4 linked regions of the Xenopus tropicalis genome follow. The main gene of each other region encodes a partner of the protein of the gene in region 2 in a complex. Links are inferred from orthologs where the notes say so. Each region holds a gene or a part of one and is shown on either strand. Other genes may lie near its edges.

Region 1 (4,893 bases), on a different chromosome or scaffold from region 2:
GCTTCTGATAAGGGGGTTCCCAGGTTTATTGCTGACTCAACACGAGAGATTTTTTCATCCTACAGACCTTTGTCAAGTGCACACATACACCACTCAAGAGAGCACAGATTTACTGTGTGCCATCCCTAAACTTTCCAATGCATTTAATGTGGCACTAATGAAGCCTATTGTCAAATTAAGAGTTTAAGAAAAGTAATTTTAATCACAATCATCATTAAAAGTACCATGCAATCATTTAGGAGGAGCAATGGAAGCAGCTCTACATAGGATTCCTTGCTCGGATAGGTGTCATACTCACCTGTGGGAGTCGCAGGATAAACTGGCTCTCTAGTTCGTGTGGGGCATCATCTTTGCTCCTTGATGTCTTTTGTTCTATGGAAGGAATATGTAAAACTCAGAAGTCAGTTGGCCTTGTAGGCAGTAGGACTCATATAGAGGAAGTGTTGAAAAGTAAAGAAATTAATATTTACCAGCTCTTTCACTTTTCTAGATAGCGCACATATATACAAGAAAATTATGTTTATTTTCCTGTTAATATGGTATGAAAGTATACAAGTGCATGTATTTCTGCACATTACATTGTCTCTATATGTTAAAGGATATATTACTAGTAATAAATTAAAAGACTAAGAAATAGAAATTTTTAAGAGATGGTGTGTTAGGCAACCCCAGTGAATACATTAGCTTAACCCGAGTGTAGAAATGTGCCAATCACCAGACTTAAGTTATAATAAACAAAAAAGTCTAAATATTGGTGAAAATCAAAGCTTTTATTGTAAAAATAAAAAAAAATAAAGTTTCATGGAACCTGCCCCTTTATCAAACAAAAAAGTAAATGACAACACATTTGTTAGTGTCTACCTAAAGCTCCCCTCTTAAAGGTACATGTTATGCAATGTGCTGCAATCCCATACAGTAGGTATACATTAAATAAGAATCATTGGTATTCCTAGTGTAATACAAAAATCAGCCAAAAATCAGTAGTGTAGTCTACTTTCACATATTATTAAATAAATGCATATAGATTATACTCTTATTTTAATCCCCTAGAGTGAAGAGTCTGTAACGTGTGTATCCAAAATTTCTTCCTTTTCTGGAGATACAAGAATCTGTTGTTCTCCTACAATGGGGAAGAAACTTTCTAAATATAATAAAAATTCTGTACCATTTTTGAAATAACTAAGTTACTCTTCATTGTCTCCCACTCAGCATCTACCTGTCTTTATTCTCTGGACGTAGAGAGGCAGGATTTTTGAGTGAGCTCTAATACATATTTTAGGCAAAAGGATCACCTACCCCCCCCCCCCCCCCCCAAATGCTGTACAAGACTTAACTGTCAATCAAAATCAGAATCCTAATAAGTGTATAAAGAGAGAGAATAAAGAGAGAGAGAATAAAGAGAGAATGAAGAGAGACAGATGCTGGGAGAGTAAATTGATTATTTCAGACACAGTACAGAAGTTTTTAATTGATTACATCTAGAGATCTTCTTATTTCAATATGATGCAGCCTGTATTAAAATGTAATTTTTGCAATAGGTGCCCTTTAAGCACTTCAAGGTTGTTTAATATAATACAGGATTTAATGTATACAGAAGGTATTCATTTGTATTTTTACTATAGTGTAAAGAAAAAAGTTAGCAGTCGCTTAAACAACATTTATATTACTTGTGGAAGTCATGGCCAATCTGTCAGGAGAAGTCAGTAGTAGGGGGCAAAGAAATCTGTGGGTGGAAAAAAAACCATGAGATTAAATCTTGCACTTGGCCAATCGTCCATAAATTCTAACGACAGACCATTGTTATGACTACAGTAGGTCCCCAGAACGTTTAAGCCTTTTTTTTTTCTTTTTAAAAGACTGGCTGCACACAGATATTTTAGTGAGCTTGTGAGTGGGAATCAGTTTTGACAATCTGCTCCACAAATTTTAGTTGTTAAAAGAGGAATTCTTACACGCAATTTCTCTATTACAACCAAAGCCATTAAAGGAGTGGCATACAGACCAGCTTTAAAGTACTACTACTGTACGACTGTAAGCTCTACGGGGCAGGGACCTCCATCCTCTTGTGTCTTTGACTCTTAAAGGAGAAGGAAATCCTAAGTCACTTGGGGTGCCAAAATGTTAGGCACCCCCAAGTGACTTAAATCGCTTACCTTGTACCCCAGGCTGGTGCCCGTTAGGGAGAACAGCACCAGCACGGGGTAGCAGCGAGTGCATCCTTCTCCCGCGTTGGCGCGCTTGCGCATGCGCAGTAGAGTGAAAAGCTGAACTGTAACAACAAAGTTGGCTTTTCACTCTAATGCGCATGCGCCGGCCAAGGGATTTCACCGCAGAAAAAACACGGAAGAAGGAAGCGCTCGCTACAGGTACCCCGGGCTGGTGCAGTGTTCTCCTAACAGGGGCACAAGGTAAGCTATTTAAGTCACTTGGGGGTGCCTAACATTTTGGCACCCCCAAGTGACTTAGCCTTTCCTTCTCCTTTAATTTATTGCAACTGTATCTTGTATTAATTTATATTTATTGTTAGACTTTGTATTTATCTTAATAAGCCCGTTTGTATTAATGTATTCTCCTGTACAGCGCTGCGTACATAAGTAGCGCTTTATAAATAAAGATATACATACATACATACTAGAATATGCAGAGCTGCACAATTATACAATACAGAAAAGTGTAAACAGGGAGAACAAACACTGCAATAAATAAGTATAAAAATACATAACTGTGTCACTGGTAAGAGAGACAGAAGGAAGGCGGTCTCTGCCCTGCAGAGCTTACAGTCTGAGTGCGGTGGGGACTAGTGTTGCAGTCCCTGGAAATGACTGCCACCTATAAAGCTAAAGCTTGCTTCTTGTAGCTATGCAGCGTTATAAGGAGCACTACAGTCTCTATAGCCCACACCGGCACTGAGTATAATAAACTAATTTGTTCTTCGAATTCCCATCTGTGGGTTAAGAACAACTCCCAGTAACCCCCGGCGAAGACTCGGCCCATCACCTCGACGAACTACAGGTATTCTACTTACCGGAGGAGACCCGCTGCTCTCTAATTCATTGTGAAGTTACACCTATGGGAAATTCCTAGCCCACAGAGCACCAGATACCGGAAGTATGTGGAATAGAGCCGGACTCCTTTGCCTTCTGATTGGTTCACACTGCCCAGGACTACGGTGTCCATTATAGGTCAATTATCTAAAAATCCAAGTGCGTCCTGCTTTCTCCCACCTCCAAAATCTCTGAATTGCGCCTCCCCCTTCTAGTATTAATTTTGCACTTGAATTTGGACAATGTATGTCCTGAAATGGACACCGTACTTGGAGTTCGCTAACCAATTGGGTACCCAGCCAAAGTCTCTCACAAATGATTGCAGAGAATACGGAAGCTCGAAATAGAAATGAGAGTAGCAAGTGATGCTATGTATGTGTTACCGATAGGGGTGGTAGGGTCAGTCCCCGGAGAGTGTGTACTGTGGAACGGGCGGCTCTGCTAAGCGGTGGGTTTCTCCCTGCACCCTGTAAGTGAGAGGAGTAAGTGCCGCTGTGCATGCTGGGAGCTAAGTGGCAGACATTAGGGTCTCATACGTGTTAATGTATGTATGTACAACTATATTTATAAAGCGCCACAAGGGTACTCAGCGCTGTACAGTCTTACAGAATACAAAATTACACACAGGGAGGACGAGTGATATATATATATATATATATATACATATATGTATTTATTTATTATAAGTGCCATGTGGTATGAGACACAGTAGGAAGGAGGTCCCTGCCCCATAGAGCTTACAATCTGAGTATTAATAAAATTGCCATTGGTAGCTTCTGCTTTATTATGGTTCATCAGCACTGTAAGTCTTATGGGCAGGAGCATTAGAATCCTGTAGTGTTAGAAATACTAACTATTGGGAGTGAGAGCAAGTACACTAGTCAGTTATCGCTCATTTATACCAGGAAGTGATACGTCTCCTTACTTATTAAAGTTACAATGGCATGCTGTCATGGTAGGAAGGGTGGCACCGTAAGCTTCTCCAGAGGGGACTTACAGAAACTTACTGTATTTATATATAAAGTTTGAATTTAAATGTTATATATAAAATGGAACTGTTCCTTCTGCAAAATGCTTTACTTATTTGTGGCACTGTATGGATATACTTACAGGCATACATGAATGTCAGCTCTTGGGATAAAATAAAAGCAGATATTCATATTTACCTAAAATCTAAAATAAGCCGTGCTATAAAATTCTTTTCCAATGCAGGGTAGACACATTGACAATAGTGTGTATTCACACTGACTTGCTGAAGCTTGATCGAAACATTATACTTGATTTATTTGGGCAGTGCCCATAATTGGAAGGAGAATTTGCTGCTGGAAACCCAGTGGTACTCGCTAGGAAAAAGTAACGATTTATGTTTGACAGGTTCATATGGAGACTACTGGAAACCGCTATGACTTCTACATTGGACTGGCTCTAGCTCTTTCCTCCAGCATTTTCATTGGGAGCAGCTTTATTCTGAAAAAGAAGGGTCTCCTCAAACTCTGCAGTCGAGGACAACTCAGGGCAGGTGAGAATTGCCAGGTACTCCACCATTGCCTTTATCACTGATTTTATATCTTATTTCCCCCTGCCTACAAGTTCAGCCTGCAGTGTTTTTTAGTACATAACCAGAAGCTTTCCTTTGCTAACAGTTTTGTAGGAAACTGAAAAGTGATGGCGATATAACCTTTTATATCAGGATACTCTAAGTAAATAATTCTGTCTCTGCCTGGCAGGACATGGAGGGCATGCTTACCTCAAGGAGTGGCTGTGGTGGGCTGGTCTCTTGTCAAGTGAGTATATTTTCAGAATTCATTTAGCACACCTCTGATATTGCACTCACCTGACCTATCCTTTA
Region 2 (4,415 bases):
GAAGCAGCAAAATTGGTTGTCTAAGGGCTGTGGCACACGGGGAGATTAGTCGCAGGGCGACTAATCTCCCGAAAAGCCGTCCCACCGGCTAAAATGTAAAGTGCCTGTGGGATAGCATACGCGGCACAGCGATTTGCCGAAATCACCAAAGTGATTTGCTGTGCTGCGTATGCCACCCCACCAGCGATTTACATTTTAGCCAGTGGGATGGCATGTCAGGGAGATTAGTCGCCCGGTGACTAATCTCCCCGTATGCCACAGCCCTTAACTGAACTAAGAATTTTGAGGCTTGGAAGCGATCCTTTAATTTAACTTATGTTTAGATCTCACAGCTCTTTAGCAAAGTAAATATATTAATTCAGGATTGTTCTGTACATGTACAAATCGTTGCATTCCTACTTTATAGTTCGGCATTACAAGCAGAGAACAAGATAAGTATGCTTTGTGCTGGCACTATAGGAAACTGTTCCTTATTAGCATTTTTACTTATTAGCCAAATGGTTCTATTCAATTTGCTGATAAGATCAGGGATATAAAAAGTTGTTACTCAGTAACTTTCCGTTTACTTTATGACATCTAACAATTTGAATTAAAGGATAAGTGAAATTTAACAGGAAAAGCAGCAATTTTGAAACTCAAAAGTTCATGAACTACTAACATCGTTGCTTAAAAAAAAAAACACACAGAAATATTACAAGGAAATTCTCTGAGTAAAGCAGCAGGGGGTCCAAACCATTTAACATTTTTCTGATAAATGTTATACTGTACATTAAACAGCCATGGGTCATATATAACCACCGGCAAATGAAGGGGGTCTTTAGAATAAAGTCAATGAAGTCATCATATTCTTTTCCTGTGTTTTCAAAGGACTTTATAAAGGCTATACCACATGGGGTGGTTAATACAACTCCACTACCTACTCCCTGATCACTTGCTATTCACTTGAATGGTAAGCTCTGTGAACTTGGTTTTATTAAATTAAGGATGTCATTCAAGGAAATCCGAGTAGGTTGGGAATATAAAAATGTATTAAAAGGCAATATCAATATATGCCTATAGCTGAACAGTCTCAATAAGTTAGGTGGGATTTTGATCGAACCCAAGGTTATTGATCCAGGAAGTAATGCGATTACTCATATACATAGGGGTTCATGTAAGGATAAAATATCAAAAGCATTAATATCAAAATTGTTTAAACTGTCTGTAGTTGTTCAAGAGACTGAGAAAAACCCCTTCACCTAACCATGTAATTTATGAAACTATGGCTGTGAATACCAAACTGATCCAATTAAAGGGTTACAGCTTATTATGTGTACCTTATACTACAGGCATGTAAAAGAAAAACAAAAAGGTGAGTACTCACCACATAGGTACTGACTGTTTCTGTCACAACACTTCGGACAGGGGTTTTAGAGGAACCAGCATTTGAAGTGAGTGCAGAAGGGGCTGGAGTTGGAGCTGGTGATGCAGCTGCTGGAGCTGGTGGAGCTTGAGGGGGGACAACAAGAATAGGTGCTGGAGCTGGAGAAGGTGTTGGAGGTGGAGATTTGGGCAACGATGGTGGAGGGGCTGCTTTAGACTCTGGAGCAGATACGACTTTGCTGATAACACTTTAAAGAGAAAAAAAAAAACATTAAATGTATACGTTTGCGTCAATGTACATCCAGTTTTCATAGATTCCTACAACAATTACGTTTATATGTATAATGCCAGATGATTAGATATCCTGTCTTTACCAGACTGGTTACAATTCCCATTACCGGCAAGTTTTTAAGAAACAGTAAGTTAATTAATATGTACAGGTATGAGGCCTGTTATGCAAAAAATTATTCAAATATTAAATAAATAAACCCAATAGGATTGTTTTGCTTCTAATAAGGATTAATTATATCTTTATTATTACAGAGAAAAAGGAAATATGTTGAATTTTGAATTATTTTATGAAAATGGAGAGAAATAAGTTACACCTTTAGTAACAAGGAAGAGTCAAATTCATTTGTTGGTATAGGACAGCACTGAAAGCCTCCAAGAGCAGAATAAGTCCTGCTATACACACTGCTTAAAAATGGACTAAACGGTGTGAAAAACATGTTTGTTCTAGCAGCTAAAGGGCACATATCTACTTTTAGCTTTAGTGCTGCTTTTAGTTCAAAGAAAGTCCTGCTCCACCAAAGGCATGGCTGCTGAATGGTCCTTGGAAAAGAGACAAATGAAGAGTGAAAAGTTATTATGCTTTTGTTTTTATCATTTAAATAGATTTTAATATATATGAGAATTTTGCAGGCAGGTGGTGGTCAAATTTTGTTTTTGGCTTCACACTGCTCGTACAGCTTACTTTGATTTCCCCTCATTTGGATGGCCGTTGCTTATTTATATACTTGTGCCAGCCCAACCCCTCCAGTTATATTGGAGATTGAAGTATTGAGCACATGTATATAAATAATGAAGTGACAGGTCGGGTTGGTTTTGGGGGGTCCACAAGGGAGGGGGGGGGTATTGATATCCCCAAGTGAACTAGGGTTTCCTTGTTCTTTAATGCTATGATTCTTTCACACAAGGGTTCATTTATGAACACTGGGGTTTTTGCACCTCAGCAACCAATCAATTGTTAGTTTTTTCACCCAGGCACCCAATTTGTCTAGGGCAAGATACTCAGTCTCCTGCATTATACATATTTAATCAGTTTTTCTCCCTGAAGATTACCATATTCCAAAAATCAACGTGGGTGGCTTCCCACTATCCATGGAATAGCTATGGAATCACTTAGCCAAAAAACTGATATCAAAGTAAACTCCAAAATATGGGAAGACCTTCTCCCACTGTGTCCATCTGGCAAATATTTTACATTTTTAAAAAATGATTGACATTTTCTCTGTAATAATAAAACACTACCTTGTACATGATACGAACTAAGCTACATAAACCCATATTGGCTGCAAAACAACCCTCTGGGTTTATCTATTTTTATTTATCAGACTTATGATCATCCAAATTACATAAAACAATTCTTAGCTGGAAAACCCCAGATCCCAGATATTTTAGAGAATAGATCCCATACCTGTGCAAAGAACTACAAGATGCCCATGAACTGTGATTAAAACCATAAAGCCCTGCAAGCTAAATAAACAGATCACAAAGGGCCTTGGTGGAGGACTGCATCAATGAGCCAACGCAGTTCTTGATCGGATAGGAAAATGAAACCCACCAGATCGATATCAGGCCTAAAGGACCTGAATGGTCTGCTTAAATCCACCCATGTATGGCCACCTTTAGGGTTTTGCACTATGTAAAGCTTGGTCAGAGACGACATGCATTCTGAATAGAACGCCACAAGTCTCTATAAAAGAATCCTGCCTTAACAAGCCATCCAAGTTTAACTTAACTGAAGCTATGGGTCCAGTTTCAGTTATTCTTAAGATCTGTCAAAAATGGGCAGTGCCAAGTAATCATTTAAGCCTTGGAAATGAAAATTTCCTTATTTATGTTACGCACTAAAGAATATTAAGACTCATACTCCATTGCAAAATAAATACTGCATAACTAAGGCCAGATGTCAAAGAGGAAAGTATACAACCTCTTATCAGACACTGGTTATTTATATGCAGTAATTAGATTTAAATTCCTGTGGTGTTTGGCTTTTGTACTGCGCCTCATTAATAACTCCTGCTGCTTCTTTTAACAGTCTAAAAATCACCTACTTCTTACTGTTGTGGCCTGTTTCTTATTGTACCATTTTATCGAACAATTTAAAGCTGAAACTGGATATTTAATACAATTCCTTATTCCTCCCAGAGCTGCCTTTACCGAATCTGGGCTTTGACCAGTACGCCACTAAGTGGTAACCCACATGCACACAGCTACAGGAACTACCGCTACAAGCCAAAATACAAAATATTTTACTGTGCCCCTGAAACTGCTTCCCAAGTTAAGAGGAAAACCAAACCTATCTAGCATCTTGGGGAGACTAAACTGGAAAAAAATAACTTTGACAAATACAAAGGGTCATGTGTAACTGTTTAACAGTAGATAAAATAAGAATCACCACTTTTTTATTGTTTTTCTTTACTTTGTTTGTTGTAAGTTTAATTGTATTGTAGCTATTATTTTTTTTCCTCTGCTTATAAACCCCAATAAAAAATGTAAAACTCATAAATTTCTGTAATTCTCAATTCCTTTTCTGATGAAGATGTATAATTTATGATGTCCCTAAATACGGATGTAAAAACTGGGTAAAAGGCCATTGCTGTGCATTTCTGCACTCTATATTCTCTATATTCAGTCTTTAACCCAACCATGCAGCTGTTTAAGGTTTATTTTTTTTTTTTTTTTTTAGCAATAAACCACCTACTTCCACACTGTAAAATCATTTGGAGGCCCATTAGCACAGCAATAAAAACAGCCTGGGATTGCCAAGT
Region 3 (5,096 bases), on a different chromosome or scaffold from region 2:
TACAGTCAGTACTCGAAACGTTGGATTTTTTCAAATACATTTTTTCACTAATCGCTAAGTCCTTGTGCGTGCGACTCTCTGTCCTTATATATATATATATATATCAGTATTAGTGATGAGCGAATCTGTCCCGTTTCGCTTCGCCATAAAATTAGCTAAACGACAAGAAAATACATGAAACGGCAAAAAATTCACGAAACGCATTTTTCGCAATTTTTTTTGTCGAAGGGTTAACATATGTATGCACAATTCTAAGAAGGACTCTGTATGTGCTACTTCAGTTGTTACGATTACCCTGACCATCCTGTCTCTGTGCAAGTTATTTTGTCCTTGTTGATCTCAGCAAATGCTCAAGGCTAACAAACCAAAATAAGCTTCAGCAGCTACTTTAATGAGTTCCTGTTTTCTGCTAATAACTGCAAGGCATATGTGCCCACCCATGTTACGTAAGCATAATGGAATATCTTTATCTACATGTATATAATCTGCGGCAAAACCATCAATAAACTAGATTTGTTAGGAGATTCACTACTTGTCTGTGTCTCTCTGTGCAAGTTCCCGGATCCGTATCACATGACAGTGTACCAACAAGAGAGTCCAGAGTCCCAATAATTGGTAAAACCCTAACAGTCGCCCCCGCGTCTATTTTTTGTCGCCCACGCTTTTTTACGCGACCATGGGCAATTTTGATGCGCCTGCTCCCTTTTTTGTTGTAACAATGCCCAATTTGACGCACAAAAAAAAATTCTGCGCAACAAATTTTTCTGCAGTGAATTTTCACGGAAGTTTTGCAAAACAATTTGCCAATTGCCAAATTCGCTGGGAATCCACGTCTAGCGAAAACATTTGTTCATCACTAATCAGTATACATATGTGTATCATACACAACAAAAATGCATTTCAACCAATTTTTCTTTGGTTTATAACAGAGCAATGCTGGGATTGTATATAGTCTATCAAATAAGAGAATGTCTATGTATTTCAGAGAGCTATTATATGCCACACTAGTGCAAGAAGGACTTGAGGATTGAGTTATAGTTGAACCCAACCATGATGCTGGATACAGCTGTGCTCAGCATGATGTTTGGGTTAAAATGTAACTCACTAGAGTTATTGTATCTAGATTCTGCATGTCATTTATAATGGAGGGTGTATGCTGCTACTGAAAAATACCCTACAGCGAATGCAGGGACTTATACTGTGGCAAACTGGGTCAATATAGAAGGCTGTCATGGTAACCTGCTAATAGTCTCACAGTGTTTTTCAGCTGACTTGTTGCTAATATGTGTTATATACCAACATCACTATTGTCACAAGCAATATGTAGTTAAAACCATATCTATTTCATATCCATGTAGAAAAGTTTAAAAAGTACTTCACATGAAAAGGCCCTCACCAGTTGTTTGCTATTAGTACCATTCATGCACGATAAATAAATTTCTGCTCACTGCATGATAAACATTTTATTTACAGCACAAATTATTTACAGCAATTTTCCACTTCTGCTTTCGTGGGTTAAGTAAAGTGCTTTTGTAACTTTCCTATGATCCCTGTAATTATAACAAGCCAGCCGAAAGACGTCCTTAGACTAACGTTAAAAAATGGTCTGACAACCAAACACGTTAGTTCGTGAGGCATTTGTAAGCTGAGGGGATCTTATAACCTTATAATACATGTTCGCAAAAGTGTCCACATGAGGCTTAAGGGTAGATGACTTTTGACATGTATTTAGATGATTTAGGCGCCCCTTAGATACTTACGATGTAATATTTGTAGAATTTGTGTGCGCAACTGAGGTTTTAGGTATGTTATAGACGACAGGAAGCGAAGCTCCTGGCGATTGTATTGATCGGCGATGTCACGTGATCGGCGATTACGTTTAACGTTAATGCGTACGCGACGACGTCGCATACGCATGAAGACAGAAAGGAAAGCGCAGGGCAACAATCGCCGTGCCTTCGGATTGGATGACTCCTTTTGTTATTTTTTTTCTTTTTAATGGCGATATTTACATGGTAGCGCTGAAAAGAAAAGGGAAGATGGCTGCCCTGTGGAACTTTATTTGATACGCTCGTAATGGTAATGCGAGTAAACGTTTGAAATGTTTTTATACCAGTTTAGGGGCTTTTTACAATAAAGACACTGTGGCGGATTTATTTTAAGTTTAATGGGTGGATATGTTAAATGTATAAACATACAATAAACTGTCTGATGATGTATTAACTAGTAGAGCCTTCAGAATTATGTTATTAATTTAGAGCTTCAGAGATCGGCATGGAATATGGCTTAAATACGTCACATATGTGCCACCAAACAAGTAAAAATGACCAAAAACCACACAAGTAATTCCATTCCCCTATCTTCTGCCATTTGTCTCCTCTCTGGCTCGCCGAAGGCACATTCTAATGCAACAAATCTCCATGCAAAAGTCAAGTAGCTAGTCACTAGTGGGCAGATCTAGATGGGGGGCTGCTTCAGTGTCACGAACATTTGGTCCATTTCTCTGCTGCACTGTCTAGTTTGCCTCCTCTGCCAGTGCTGCATGGAAATAACAAGCACAATGTTCCTACGAATTTTTTTGGGGGGAATGTCCCTTAAGCTTTCTATGTGACCTTTCACTGCTACATTACATGGAACGTATGATATATGCAATTTGCAAACAATGCCAATTGGATATTGTACTTATCTGCTTTAATTTAGGATTTTTCCATTTCCCCTAAAATGGATAGGGGAGCTATGATAGCTTTACTATCTCATTCCCTGTTGTATGATCTCAGTCCACGTTGTCTTTAATAAAGTTTCTATTTATTTTTTAAATGCAGCATGCAGAGGCTCTACTTTGTTTGGAATTTAGGATTGGTTCATCTCTTCTGGCTTGGGTACAAAGGAACACTTTATAATATCTTGTTTACTATCTGTACTGCAATTAAATTTTGCATAATAAAACTGAAAACATTCAGATACCAGTTAGATTTCAGTGTATGTAAGTATGTATATAGGTATGGGAAACCTTATCTGGAAAGTTATGTAGTCAGCACCAAATTACGTACTTGATCCCAGCTAAGATATCCTTATTGGAGGTAAAACAAACCTATTGGGTTTATTTCATGTCTAAATTATTTTTTAGTAAGCTTAAGGTATAGCGGTCCAAATTAAGCAAAGACCCCTTGTCCATAAAACACCAGACCGAGCATTCTGGATAACAGGTTCCATAGCTGTAATTAAAAAAACATATGATCTTTCTCTATAATAAAAACTTGTACTAGACCGTTACTTGTATACATAACTAAGCTACATAAATCCATATTTATGGAAAACAATGGAAGTATGCAGTCTTAGGAGTATAGTTGTACAGCTCTGAGGCAGGGAGCCAAGTCTAGACCAAACTCTGTGAGTCCCATTCAGGAGGCCCTGGGATATGATATGTAGTCATAAAGTATCATAATGTATGTCACTCAACTTTGCTTATTCACATGTGAAGTATGACAATGGTAATGTCTTGGAAGGTCTCAGTTGCTGCAGAAAGAGGCAGTTCACTAACTCAAGCAACCAAAAAAATTTGTTGTGTGAGGTTAAAATTTTCTAAACCTTAAAAATATGACCAATAGCAAATTAGCTCGGAATGTTGCTTAAGTCATACTAAAAGTTAATATAAACTGCTTTAATGGAGAAGGCAAGTGCTCCCTTTGGATCAAGATGGTGGTCCTGCGGTTCTTGTGTGCAAAAGGGTATGCCCGTTTGTAACAAATGTTCTTGTGTTGTGTATTTTATAGGAGTTACTGATCAGTAAAGAAAGCTGTTCCTTTAATCATCCCATTTTTGATTTAAGGCCCCTGGTTGTCTTCAGCCATACCTTTCAATGTATGCCAATTGTACTGGTTTATGCTTTTGCTGTTATTAATGGAGTTTTGACTATGCCAATGTAACCTTGCAAAATCTGTATTATACTCCCAAACTTTGTGCTATTAAATATTTTTGCTTAGTTTGGTATAACATATCTAATATTTATTGAAATGTGTTTAAACTAAAATATTCAATGGCCCAGTTTTATATATAATATTTTTTTGTTGCACTTTACACCAACTTTTCTATTTCCAAGTTTTCTATTGTATTGAAATGTTACTCCCATTCTCCAAGCACAATCACATCAAGAACGTTTGTGTGGGGGCAACAATAATAAAAAAGGGCATATGTATTTTTTACATTAACAAGCTTATCTGTCAGTAAATTTACATTTTCTGTCCACCTCTTTCTGCATGGAGTTGGGCTGTTAGTTGGTATTTTTCAGGTCTTTCTCTGGCCTGTTTGTAGGTCTCAGCTGGCTGCTAACATTTTGTGTGTTTGAGGTGTTTTAGAACATGTCATTAACATGTCATTTTTGTCTCTAATTTACTTAGGTACAAAGGGAAAAGTTTTTGTTCCAGCTCTTTTAGAAATCAAGCTGCAGTCAAAAAGACTGTCTCCTGTACTGAGGTGCTAGAAGTTGTATATAATACAGAAACGCTTTTTATGTTTCCTACAATTGTAAGTGCAATTTGTGTTTAATAAAGTTTGTTATTTTAAATACTGCACGTGCAGGCGCTACTTAATGTTTGTAATTTAGGATTTTTTAATCTCTTTTACCATGGGTAACCAAGGAACACTGTATAATGATTTTATCTCCTATCTGTGCTGCAAATAATTTTTGCATAATAAAATCTCAAAATATTTAGCTACCAGTTAAATTTCATTGTATGTTGTTATGCCAGCAGAAAGCCCCCCAGTTATGGAAAGGCCATCTCCCATTTTAAGCCAATAATTTTATTTTTTTATATCTGATTTTTCTTTGTTATAATATAACGGTAATGTGTACTGTCTACAGGCTACGGCATTGAAGTATCCTGGGATTTAGAAGAAGGGAATAATTGTGCAAAAATTATATGCATTTTTATATACCGGTACATCTACAGTAGGGTTGTATAAGCGGGTCAAGCCCTGATAACAGCCTATGATGCAGTAATATTCTAGTCTCCTGTTAAGAGAAAGGGAACCCTAGGACTTTAGGTAGAAAGATGCCTGTATCTTCTTTTACTGCCAACTAAGTAGCTACAAACACA
Region 4 (5,123 bases), on a different chromosome or scaffold from region 2:
GGGATTCTGTCATGATTTTTATGGTTTCATTTTTATTTCTAAAGTACACTGTTTACATATAATAATTGACTCTACCATTAACATTTTATTCTTGAACCAACAAATGTATTTTTTTAAATTCTAATATTGGTGTGTAGGTGCCATCTCTGTGTATTGTGCCCGAGTCTGAGCTTTCAGAAGGAGCCAGCGCTACACATTAGAACTGCTTTCAGGTAACCTATTGTTTCTCCTACTCCCATGTAACTGTAGGAGTCCCAAGCCAGCGCTATCCTGATATCTATTGGGAGCTGATATCTTGCTACCTTCCCATTGTTCTTCTGATCAGCTGCTGGTGGGAGGGGGGTGATATCACTCCAACTTGCAGAGCAGCAGTAAAGTGTGACTGAGGTTTATCAGAGCACTGGTCACATGGCTGTGGCACCCTGGGAAATGAAGAATATGGCTAGCCCCATGTGAAATTTCAAATGTAAATATAAACAAAAATGTGTTTGGGTTTCTGAAAAACAGATTTCAATACAGGATTCTTTTCAAGAAGCTCTATTAACTGATGCTTTTTAAAAAAACATGTTTTCCCATGACATTATTCCTTTAAGAATGTGGGCTTTATTTTCACTTTTCCGCTATTGCAAATAAAGTAATCGGTCTGCTAAATAAAAACATACTGACAACCCTAAGCAAAAACCTGTCATATCCAGTGTAGAAAGCAATTATTAGGTAGCTTGTTGCTCTTTTGCTACCTATAAAGCACACCTGTGTTGGATTGGGTAACCCTGGGCCCACTGGGTAACCAACTCAGGAGCCCACAGCTGCTTCGCCCACAGCTACTCCTGCTTTACTTACTTACTGTTATAGGCTCAACTTTAGAACGCACACCGCCAAGTTTATTTTTTCACAGCAAGTAAGCAGTGGCCCACTCTGCTGCTTACTTGCTGTGAAAAAATAAAAGATGGCGTTCAGGTGGCAGGGCCCAACAGGGTTGGGGGGCCCACTGTTTTTTTTTTCCAGTAGCATGGTGAGCCAGTCTGACCCTGTAACCTAGTCCTATTATTTACCTACTCTGCCTGACTATCCAATGCAAAGTATAGTCAGGAAGAAACACCATAAAGGGCATAGGGGCATATTTACCAACACTTTGTAAATTTGCCTCAATACAATAGCTCATAGCAATTTTTTAGCTGTTAGCTTCAATATTTACAGTGTTAATTGAGTCCCAGTGAATAGATTTTCATTGGGAATACATTAAATACCAGCACATACAGTACTGTACACACACACACATTAATGAACGGCGCAGAAGTTGGTTAATAAGGCTGTATGGTACAGAGATACTTTGTATCACTATACAGTGGCTCATGCTAACACACTATTTACTTACAGCCAGTTGAGTATCTAGCTCTGTAATGACATCGCACACGGCGGTGGAACCGCTGAGCACACACGTCATCATCACCGGCCTTCTGCAGACAATAACAGCATCAGTTGGGCACATTGTATAAGGTTATTAGTATATATCACAGACTGAGGTGGACTGGGTTAGTAACGATGACATTTCACCAAGTTACTAGCTATAACTCAAAAATGATCCAAGGTAAGCTTACTTTCTTCTCATCTATTTAGAGAGTGTAATATTGATGTAATTTTATAGGCAAGACAATGCTCCTAACCGGTATGTTATTATACAAAAATTTTAAAGGAGACATATTGGATAAATGGGGAAAAACACTTATTTTGTAGGCAATTATGAATAATATACGGTGCTGGTTTCCCTTTGGGCTAAACATTAACCCTATCTGTAACAATGGCCCCTTTATTGGAGCTCCCTATAGATCCTATCACTTCTCTGTCCAGTGTGAAATGGAGAGTGGGCGTGTCCTAACAGTCCCTGCCAGAAGCACAGTAGGAGGGGGAGAGCCAATCACAGCCCTGCCCTCACACAAGCACAGACAGGCTTCAGTTCCCTATCAGGTCAGCCTAGCTGCTGATTGGTTCCTGTCCTACAGTGCAGGGTACTGAGGGCGGCTCCCCAGCTCATCCAGAGAATTCAGCCAGCAGGAAGTGGAACAGATGGGCGGGACTAGTGGGGTTTTGGTGGAATTTCTCAATAAATCAGTCTGAAACACAACATTTTTAAGCACAATCCTTCTATATCTAGAGGAGTATAATTCACTGGAACATTCATCATTTTTATAGGATATGTCTCCTTTAAGGAAAAACCAAACAACTGGCATATTGTTTTTGTTACCGATTTCTGCCTTTTGCTATATGTAGTGTAACCTATCCCCATTACACATTAAAGCAATGCAGGAAAAAAAATATTCAGAACAGAAGAGACTCCTGAAACAATGTAGCCAGCAAGTCCCATTTCAGTTCAACTAACTTCTAATACATTGTTTCAGGATTCCGCACCAGTGAACAGAAGATGCCCATACCTGGTGCACTCTTACCTTCCAGTTTGTGCCTGTATGTTACCCAACCACTTAGATTGTAAGCTCTATGGGGTAGGGATCTCCTTCCTACTGTGTCTCATACCACATGGCACTTATATATATATATATACATATATGTATTTATTGTATTTATTTATTATATCACTTGTCCTCCCTGTGTGTAATTGTGTATTCTGTAAGACTGTACAGCGCTGCATACCCTTGTGGCGCTTAATAAATAAAGTTATACATACATACATACATATAACCAGCGAGCCAGTCTGAAAGCGATTTATACACCACTGAAATTGTTTAACGTATATCTGAAAGTTGCAACGAACTGGATTCTAACAAGTTGAAATTGTAACCCTCCTGTGTGTATGTATATATGTTCCAATATACCTAAATACATAATACCGTGTGTGAGTCTCACACATGAGTGAGATGATTGGCACGGTACGTTACGTACAACCTGCTGCGCACTAGCACTTGCTGCACTGCTTTGCCGGGAGAGTAGGGACACCAAAGTGAGATACCCGGGAATCCCATACGTCCCGATTCTCGCAAGGAAAACCTGATAAAGCGACAATATAATCACGGAGTCCACATACCAATCTCTGCGCTTTAAGTTCTGCTGTCTCTCTCCCTGTTGGCGGACGTTACATCACACATTCTTTCCGCTCATGCGCAAATTCTTCTTCCCCCCCACACTTTATTTAACGGGAACAATCCAAAACTCAGAATATGCGCAGAAAACCGAAAAACATGGCTCCCAATACGCCGACCTAAACAAAAATTGCACCTTTTCTCGCGATTTTAAATGTAGCTGTGGACGGGAATTGGCAGTCCCATCATCCCTTCTATTTAGCATAATTTGCATATGGCCCTCGCTTGGCAATAAAATTAAAATGTAAAATACTGTTTGTTGTATTTATGAAAGTGAATTATCTTATATTTAGTGTATCCCGATCTAGCACTCATATACAATTATAGATATTTCCCTAACCGAAACTTTGTCGCCATATGTTGTGTAAGGGTTATGCTGCCCCTGGAGGTTGCAGAAACCAGATGATAGTTAAAAAGGGCTTGTGCCGTGTATGGCACATTGCGGGTCTCCCTTGTGGAGGACTGCAGTGCGGAATCGATATCAAGAGATTTCGAAAGCATAATTTTTGTAAACTGGGCTGCTAGAGATCGATGGTCTGGGCGCCCAATAATTAAGTTCAAAAACAGAGAAAATGAGGATGTATCAGCAGGAATAAGCATATTGAAGCGTATTAATTAATACACTGTGTTCCGCAGGGTTATTTTCCCGGCAACGCCTAGTGATCACGCAGAGGACTGATACTTTTTTTTATTTAAGAGTATCAATGTATGTAATACTGCCACATGCCTACAATAAACAAATAACAAAGCCGGGTTAAGTACTCAAAATCTCTCACTCGCTCCTTTTTTAGCTGTTTCGAAGATGAGAGGCTGAGAGAGAGATGAGAGTATAATTCACATGATTAGCCAGTTGCTGCGAGAGAACACACAGAATGGCCAAAACTCCACCCCCTTCCTTTTCATGCAAAGCACCAGGAGTCCTGGTAAAAAAGTCACAGGCAATCTTATTCAACATTACCTTAAATAATGTCTAACAAAAGTAGAAGTAATTGAAGGTGAAAACATTTCACACATTAGAAAGATACTTTAATCAATATAGATGACTTAGTGCGTAGCGCACAGCTCCAGGGACGGCGGTACTGTTATTCACACAGAAAAGTGCCGCACCTCCCCCTCTCCTTCTCCTTCTCCGTCCACTTGACGCAAGCACGTACGCACACACAAAAAATACAACCTTGTCTGGACGCCAAAACACAGAATTTGATGGGAGTTTTGGGTTTAAATAACACCTTTTGGTTTAATTATTGCCCAGGCTAGCTGCTAACTCCTTAAGTATATGCCTATATCACAGGTCTTTTGCCCTGTGTTCATCTGTAAACTTTTCTTGCGTTTAGGGTTGCCACCTTTTATGAGAAAAAATACTGGGCTTCCGATATTTTTATCTTTTTTTTCATATTAATAACATTGGGATCAAGCATAATTTTTACCGGCCAGGCAGGTAAAATAGCAGCCAGGTGGCAACCCTACTTTCTTCTTCGTCCCTTCCATGTCAGTACGCAGGGGCAGTATTGCCCCCATAGCTAGGAGGTAGGACCTATATACCAAAGCCAATCAAAATTAGCCCTTACCTATAAGACCATGTGACTTCCTCCTCACCACTGTTATTTTTTGTCCTACTGAACAGGAGGTAGGATCTCCCTCCTCACCATTTTGTGATTTCACAGTTTGATTTTTCTTTTGTTTTTGTCATTTATTTATTTATTTTATTTTTTACCTCTGTGTATACATAGAGGGATGATTCCCAGGTAATGGAGAAGATTTTACCTGATGCCCCAATAAGTAAAGTAATCAAACTTTCACCTATTGGGAAGAAATGCAGGTGTGGGCATACCCATGGTCCTAGCCTTGTGCTAAAATAGCCCCCTGCTCTATTCCCATGTATGCACAGTATGTGAACAGCTGCTTAGTGGGAAAGTATACAGGAGTGGGTATTTCCACATTCCTGCCTGTGATCAATTGAGTCTCCTTTTTCCTATGATGTTTTGAGCCTTTGAAGACATTTCGGACTAAAGGGCCATGGGTATGGATATG

What was found. The genes of interacting proteins can lie anywhere in the genome.
Region 1: taf3 (region 2) and taf7 share a complex: the UniProt entries of both Homo sapiens proteins name them as parts of the TFIID basal transcription factor complex. The link is inferred for Xenopus tropicalis from reciprocal best matches to the Homo sapiens genes TAF3 and TAF7.
Region 3: taf3 (region 2) and taf8 share a complex: the UniProt entries of both Homo sapiens proteins name them as parts of the TFIID basal transcription factor complex. The link is inferred for Xenopus tropicalis from reciprocal best matches to the Homo sapiens genes TAF3 and TAF8.
Region 4: taf3 (region 2) and taf12 share a complex: the UniProt entries of both Homo sapiens proteins name them as parts of the TFIID basal transcription factor complex. The link is inferred for Xenopus tropicalis from reciprocal best matches to the Homo sapiens genes TAF3 and TAF12.

Annotation. Positions count from the first base shown.
Region 1 is NC_030684.2:37,691,813-37,696,705, reverse strand, and holds the start of taf7 (transcription initiation factor TFIID subunit 7-like), read right to left. Parts: upstream 3,061-4,893; 5' UTR 3,026-3,060; intron 1,724-3,025; 5' UTR 1,681-1,723; coding exon 1,668-1,680; intron 373-1,667; coding exon 299-372; intron 1-298. Other genes in the region: MGC108429 protein, read left to right, coding at 4,425-4,563, 4,772-4,828. UniProt on the Homo sapiens protein: The TFIID basal transcription factor complex plays a major role in the initiation of RNA polymerase II (Pol II)-dependent transcription.
Region 2 is NC_030679.2:83,687,679-83,692,093, forward strand, and holds part of taf3 (transcription initiation factor TFIID subunit 3), read right to left. Parts: intron 1,611-4,415; coding exon 1,364-1,610; intron 1-1,363. UniProt on the Homo sapiens protein: The TFIID basal transcription factor complex plays a major role in the initiation of RNA polymerase II (Pol II)-dependent transcription.
Region 3 is NC_030678.2:70,731,664-70,736,759, reverse strand, and holds the start of taf8 (transcription initiation factor TFIID subunit 8), read left to right. Parts: upstream 1-2,036; 5' UTR 2,037-2,079; intron 2,080-4,397; 5' UTR 4,398-4,509; coding exon of another isoform or gene 4,510-4,524; intron 4,525-5,096. UniProt on the Homo sapiens protein: The TFIID basal transcription factor complex plays a major role in the initiation of RNA polymerase II (Pol II)-dependent transcription.
Region 4 is NC_030678.2:78,450,247-78,455,369, forward strand, and holds the start of taf12 (transcription initiation factor TFIID subunit 12), read right to left. Parts: upstream 3,061-5,123; 5' UTR 3,038-3,060; intron 1,458-3,037; exon of another isoform or gene 1,448-1,457; coding exon of another isoform or gene 1,376-1,447; intron 1-1,375. UniProt on the Homo sapiens protein: The TFIID basal transcription factor complex plays a major role in the initiation of RNA polymerase II (Pol II)-dependent transcription.